Linked DNA regions of Caenorhabditis elegans. The protein of the gene in region 2 interacts with the protein of the main gene of each other region in a pairwise test. Each region holds a gene or a part of one and is shown on either strand. Other genes may lie near its edges.

What was found. Proteins that work in one complex are often made in the same cells at the same time.
Region 1: the proteins of B0454.8 (region 2) and gst-23 interact in a two-hybrid assay, tested with the Caenorhabditis elegans proteins (one large-scale study listed by BioGRID).

The regions. Positions count from the first base shown.
Region 1 is NC_003283.11:3,241,394-3,245,055, forward strand, and holds gst-23 (Glutathione S-transferase), read left to right. Parts: upstream 1-1,890; 5' UTR 1,891-1,901; coding exon 1,902-2,036; intron 2,037-2,078; coding exon 2,079-2,166; intron 2,167-2,643; coding exon 2,644-3,047; 3' UTR 3,048-3,109; downstream 3,110-3,662. Other genes in the region: srj-11 (Serpentine Receptor, class J), read left to right, coding at 31-279, 321-427, 479-683, 734-922, 977-1,243; srj-7 (Serpentine Receptor, class J), read left to right, coding at 3,610-3,662.
Region 2 is NC_003280.10:3,041,854-3,045,610, forward strand, and holds the start of B0454.8 (C6 domain-containing protein), read right to left. Parts: upstream 1,606-3,757; 5' UTR 1,554-1,605; coding exon 1,427-1,553; intron 966-1,426; coding exon 1-965. Other genes in the region: sri-29 (Serpentine Receptor, class I), read left to right, coding at 2,470-2,634, 2,687-2,815, 2,865-3,326, 3,371-3,449.

The sequences.
Region 1 (3,662 bases), on a different chromosome or scaffold from region 2:
CACAATTTCAGAAAGAAATTCAGACGGACTATGTATATCCACTGGTCTCACCATTACCTTCCAAAATTGTTTGGAATTTTGTCATTCGTGTGTAATCCAATTTTCATTTGCTTGATAGCCACCGAAAAGAAGGCTTCGATCGGGAAGTATCGATATCTTTTGATAGGGTTTGCAATTTTTGATATGGCTTACTCAACTGTAGAGCTAATCGTTCCCGTAGCAATTCATGGTACTGGGGCAGCTTTTGTGATTTACCTAGCTGACGGACCATTTTTTGGGGTGAGTTTGAAAGCTCTACACACCAAATGATTGAACTTCAGACTGGGAAGCTTGGCCAACTAGCTGTCTCAATTCGATGTGGGTGTATTTCTCTTTCATATGGAATCCTTGTCATTCACTTTATCTATCGGTATCTTGTGCTATTTAAGTGAGTTTTATTTTTATTTTTCACGTAAATCCGAAAATTTAAAAATTATAGCACCCGAATAATCGATCGACTTCTCCGGCCGTCCGGGCTATTTGGTCTCTTTGTATTTTTTGTTTTTCACGGAATAGCTTGGAGTTCTGTCTGCGAGATGTGTCTCTATGGAGATCAAGAAGTGTTCGACTACATCTATGACGCTTTTCAAAAAGATTACCATGTGGATTCACATGATTTATCCATGCTAATGGCATTGTTTTTCGTGAGGCTCGAAAAGAGCAAAGAACCAACACTAACCCCTTAAAATTTTAGGATGCAAGTCCCGAGATCAAAAGAAGAAGCTGGATTGGAATTCTGCTGCTGACTGGAATTTCGATATATGCAATTTCTCTATACGTTATTCTTGGATGGAAGATTATGAAAAAGCTGGCGGATAATCCAGGGGTTTCTGCAACGACTCAGAAATTGCATAGACAGTTATTCAAAGCCCTTGCAGTTCAGGTATACATGTTTTTAAAGAGTTCAGAAAAAAATTGTTTAACTAAACATTTTCAGACTTTCATCCCGATCTGCATCAGCTTCTCCCCTTGCATGATGGCCTGGTACGGTCCTGTAATCGGATTGGATCTCGGAATGTGGAACAATTATTTGGGCGTCATTGCACTGTCAGCGTTCCCTGTTCTAGATCCACTTGCTATCATTTTCCTCCTACCCAACTACCGGAACAAGCTTTTTCGCACTGTGAAAATGCCAATCAAATACTTTTATTCTGGAACATCGACTGTCCGACCCAACGTGGATAATTCAGCTCAAGTTTATTGAAAGTTTGAGGAAAAGTGTTGTCCAAGTTGTTATAAAATTTCTTATTTTTTTCCATAAATATTTTTCGCAACGTTCTTTTTTAATCAATGTGAAAGAGTTTTATTTGCATTTCTCGAAATACATGTTTGCTTTATAGATTTTTTCAATAGCCTGCGGACATTTTCAACGTGTCCCTCTTTTCTTACCAAGTTTGCAGACAGCTTACACTTTCTTCGTTTTTTTTTGGTTTTTAAAAACAAATTATTCTCAATTTAGTACTGTAACTTTTTGAACAACTTAGCACTTTTATAACAATGTCGTTAAGTTTGAGTTGGGATGATAGTTCTAGAAAATTATTTTGTCAAGTTTGGAGAATTCTTGTCGATGGGATTATTTTTGATCAATTACAGGAAAAAACCGTATAGAAATTTAAAATCAACACATAAACCTTACTAATTTACAGTTCACAATCGCGTCACACCCCTAACCCGATTATATTTTCGGTTTTTATTGCCGAAAATACAACAACACATGTATGAATTCGTATAGTTGCCCTCTATTATAATATTTTTGCATTTATGTTTTCCCAAATTCTCAAAAGTTTTATTTTTTCAAATTTACCGGAATCATAAAATTTACGTTTTTCTAATTTGGTTTTTCTAATTTATAGACCACTTCGATGACACTCAAGCTCACATACTTTGACATTCGTGGGCTCGCGGAGCCCATTCGGCTCTTGCTCAATGACCAGGAAATCCCATTTGAAGATAACCGTATCAGCCGAGAAGAGTGGGCCGAAATGAAGTCAACCATGGTGATTCATAATTTTTGAAACTATAAAAGTAGAATTTTCCAGATTTTCGCTCAATTGCCGTGTCTTCATATCGGAACTGAAACGATTGTCCAGTCAGCAGCGATTCTTCGTCATCTTGGACGGATTTATGGTGAGCAATCAGAAAATTTACAGTTTTGAAATAAAAAATTCATTCGAATTGATGAAAAAGAAAAAGCCTGTCAAATTGCTTATTAATTGTTTTGATAAATGTTTTGTTTTGAAAAAATCGTTTTTTTTGAGTGAAAATTTTTTTGATTTTCTCAAAATAAAAATTTTCAAAAAAACTTGCAGAATGTATACATCCGAAATCGTATAAAAATTATCTAAAAGTAGTCTTTTGGAGCAATTCTAAACGTCGTCAAATTAGTCAATAAATTGTTTTAAACTTTTGGCTTTATAGTTAGCTCTTCTAGGCTGACTTAATGCGTTTTTGATTACAATTTTTTTTTGATCTCAAAATATCAGTTGGAGAAAATAACGAAAAATATATTAACAATTGTTTTCCCGGCTGTTGAGTTAACATTTTGCAAATCTTATTTAAAATTCAATACAAAAAGAAAAAAAAACAACATCTAAAATTTCTCAGGACTCAATGGCTCCACTGAATCAGAGACCTCATTCATCGATATGTTCTCCGAAGGGCTCCGCGATCTACGCACCAAATATTTCACAATGATCAAGACAGACTACGAAGATGGCAAAGAAGCATACATAACTGAAACTCTTCCCGGGGAGCTACTACGAATTGAGAAGTTGTTCTGCACATTTAACAACGGCGAAAACTTTGTGTCCGGGGACAAGCTGAGCTATGCAGATTATGCTCTATTCGAGCTTCTCGATATTCACCTCATCCTCACACCAACTGCTCTAAATGGCACCCCAGCACTGAAAAGATTTCATGGACGATTTGCAGAGCGGCCCAATATGAGACTGTATTTGAATAAACGGGCCGAACTAAATCCATTCGTCAGTGGAAATGGGAAACAATAAAACTTTCGGATTTTTTTGTGTTAAATTAATTTTGCAATACTAATAAAACTTGTTTCAAATAACTATTGTTTCAAAAAGCAAAACTCAACTGTGAAACCATTTTCAAAAAATGAGCTATCAAAATTTCGAGTACTTAAAAATTAAATTTTTTTAAAGTTTTTTGAATTAACTTATCAAAGTCTATAGGTTTCACGATAACCTACTGCATATAAAACATTGGGTCCTGACACGAAAAACCAATGTAGTAGGAGTAAAACGTTGTTTGAAAATTAATACAGGTGCTGTTTATGAATCAGACCCTGGAGAATACAGATAACACCCACCTCAAGTCTGCTCAATGACGCTATCACACATGGAGGACTTTTTCGACCCTTTTCAGTGTGTTCCTTTGCAAAAACGGAGTTACCATAGCAGACAAATATTCAAGTCACAAAACACATAGTGCCCCAACCCCAAAGGAGTATACTATTTTACGAGAACTCGGCATTTATAAGAAAAACAAGAGGGGAAAACACTTCTACATCTCTTCATCGAGAAGATCCCATTATTTTTCAATACAACTATGATATATATGAACTGGTACCATCAAAATGTTCCCAAAATTTTGGGAGCACT
Region 2 (3,757 bases):
TGCAGTGTTGCACTGAGCATTTATAGTAACCGTCTGGGGAGGTGGGTCCAGATTGTTTTCCACTGGGGTGAAGGCTCCATTCAGATCCATTTGCACGTTGAAGTCGTCGGCTCCAGAGCAAGTGATTGTCATTGAGGAGACGCCGGCTGTAGTTGTAACTGCTGAATGTGTAACATCGATGGCGACCTCAGGGGTTTGATCGTCTCCAACTCCATAAGTTATCAACGCCGGATCACATGGCACCGGCTCCGGATCCGGTCCCTCTCCCGGCAAATTCTGAACTTGTTGGCAGGTCACACTGTCAAGCGCCTGTGTGGATGGCTGTCCATTCACCATTGTCACGTAGTTCCATATCATATCTGCAGTGTTGCACTGAGCATTTATAGTAACCGTCTGGGGAGGTGGGTCCAGATTGTTTTCCACTGGGGTGAAGGCTCCATTCAGATCCATTTGCACGTTGAAGTCGTCGGCTCCAGAGCAAGTGATTGTCATTGAGGAGACGCCGGCTGTAGTTGTAACTGCTGAATGTGTAACATCGATGGCGACCTCAGGGGTTTGATCGTCTCCAACTCCATAAGTAATCAACGCCGGATCACATGCCACCGGCTCCGGATCCGGCCCCTCTCCCGGCAAATTCTGAACTTGTAGGCAGGTCACACTGTCGAGAGGTTCGGTGAACGTTTCACCATTGATCACAGTCACGTAGTTCCATTTCATATCGGCGGTATTACACTGAGCATTGATAGTAACTGTCTGGGGTAGTGGATCCTGGTCGTTCTCGGCTGGTGTGAAGGCTCCATTAAGCTCCATTTGCACATTGAAGTCAGTGGCTCCAGAGCAAGTAATTGTCATTGAGGAGGTACCGGCTGTAGTTGTAACTGCTGAATGTGTAACATCGATGGCGACTTCGGGGTTTTGATTGTCTCCTTGTCCAAGAACAAGTGTGTCCGGAGAGCATGCTGGTTCTGAAAGTTTTTTTTGGCTTCTCGGATATTTTTCGGATTTTTTTGGAATATTTTAATACATTTTCACAAATTTTTTTCACTGGAAATCCCCTGAAAGTTGAAAAATGGTCCAAAATTAAGCCTAAGCCGTAGCCTAAATCTAAGTCAAAGCCCAAGCCTAACCCTAAGCCTAACTAAGTCTAAACCTATGTCAAAGCCTTAGCCTAAGCCCAATCCTAAGCCTAAGCCTCAACCTAAACCTAAGTCTAAAACCCTTTGAAAAATCAAAAAAACGCTATAAACCCAAGCCTAAATAGCGTCAGAGCTAACGCTCGCCACTGACGCCAAGCTTAAGCCTAAGCCTAAGACTAAACCATAGCCTACGCCTAACCCTAAGCCCAAGCCTAATCCTAAGCCTAAGCCTGAACCAAAGCCTAAGCCTAAGCCTAAGCCTAGGCCTAAACTTAAGAAAATCGACTTACCTGCCGGAGCCACCGTACTTGTCACAATTGGCTGCTGTGGAGTCTGAGTAGCGAAACAAGATTCTGAATTTTTAGCAATTAACAATAGAACCGAAAAGCTTAGCCAACAGACTAAGGAAGACGACATGTTTAATGGAATGAATCAGATCAAATCACGGAAGAGGAGATCAAGATGAAAAATTTCTCAAGGATTTAATGATATAAAAAATCGAAAAGCAGGCAGGACAGGATATCTTTGATTCCTCTATGTCTCTAGTTTCGTTGTGACGTCGGACTGATTAGAGGAGAGATTTTCGTAGCATTGTCGCATAGTTATCAAAAAATCAGGATAGTGATCGGAAATCAGTTTTAATCTAGATATAAGATTATAAATATATAGATATAATAATAAAATAATAGATATAATAATATAAAATTGCAGATTTCAGAAAAAACCTTTGATCTCCTTTATCCCTGAAACAAAACGTGCTAGCAAAAAGTTGTCAACTAACAAGATGCTTAAAAATATGTGATGAATAATTTGTTAGTTGACAACTTTTTGATAACTCTTCCCATTTTAGAGTTACAGGAAATGTTTATTAAAATGTGATGAATATTTTATTAGTTGACAACTTTTAACATTTTACTTTTACCAGCTTTTACCGTTTTAGAGTTACAACGGCTCAAATCCAAGTTGCTTCTTTTGGGGTCCTATGACAGAACCATGGAACAAGACAGGCAATGTGAGTTTGATACGAAAAAATGAAATTCCTGAAGATTTTAACATAAAATCTTGATCTCCACCGCTTATAGATTATACTCAAAGATCAGAAAGTGCTGAGAGTCGCTGATTGGTGCAAACGTGGGCGTGGCCGAGCGGTGATTGGTCAAGAAATTATGTGGTTCATGTTTCTTTGTTCTTAACATTGTTCGATCATATCTAGAAATGTGATGTTAATATTAATATTGACAGGTGACTTTTTAACATATGTCTTATGCTGAGCCCCCAAACAATCAATCTCCTCATTTTTCCTGCCAATTTTGAGCACACTCCTTCTAGTAACATGTCAGAAAGCTTGAATATTGACTTCGAGGTCCCCGAGCATTTGATTAATCACTATTACGTGTCGGGTACAATTGCATTACTACTCAACTTATTAGTCATATACCTTCTGTTGTTTCAAAGCGGCAAGCTAGACAACTTTCGATTTTATTTGCTGGCTTTTCAGGTAACTTAAACAAAATATTTGTATGTTCAAAAAAATCTTTGAAAAATTCCAGGTATCTTGTACGGCATCTGACGTGAACATTGCCTTCCTATTCCAGCCTATTCCACTATTTCCACTGTTCTCTGGATATGGGCATGGGTTTATGTCACGTTGGTTTGGCTGGAGCACGCATACGCTATTTGTAAGCATTTTGAGCAATTAACAGTCAAACAACAAAGCCAAACTTTCAGACCCTATTCACATTACTCCTTAGCGGTCAAATCGAGGTTCTCACAATATGCTTCCTCCGCAAGTACAAGGCAATCATGCAGCTGAAAACTTTATCAAACCCGTCAAGTAGCCTAACCTATATTATAATCTACCATTTATGCATGTCCTACTCACTGGCTATCACACTCGCATGGTACTTCAGCGAGACTAGTAAAGAAGATCAATGGAAGTTGATTAGTCAAGACCATCCGTCGCTGGTCCCGAAGTATCAGCAGCTTAATGAATTTTATTACACATACTTCAACAGTGCATATATTTTTATTATATTCCTAGTGCTCACTGCTGCTGGAACCTTAAAGACGATCATTGTGATATCTCTTCTAGTACTTCGAATGTTTAAAGTTCTATCAGATGTTAAAAGTCGCCTATCGAAGGGGACACTGAGCAGGCATAAGGTTGCGCTGAGAAGTTTGATTATGCAGGTACAGGATAATGGAAATTGAAGGTAAATCTTCAAAATTTCCAGTTCATGACAACCCCAATATCCTTCCTACCACCCTTCATGCTGGTAGTCGTCGCCTTGTTTCCAACCAGCTACTCTCAAGGTTCCAGTTTTACTAAAAACTAGTAGTTGACAAAGTTTTTCCTACTGGACTATGTAAAACCATCTCATAGGTCTTTGGTCTGTCGCATACCCGTCGCGGCGGACTGGCAGACCAGGCCTCCGCACTCACATCACAGGTAAAGCAGGAGAGGCCCTACGACGACCTTACGGCGGTCCGGGGACAGATGTCTGGCAAACAAACTCAGCTCAAAACTCCGGGTCGTTGGGGGCCGTCGCCGTCGCCGGCCCAGTGGTAGACTATTAACTGGAAGCCCGCTATAGTCTCAAAAACCAGGCCTCCGCACTCAC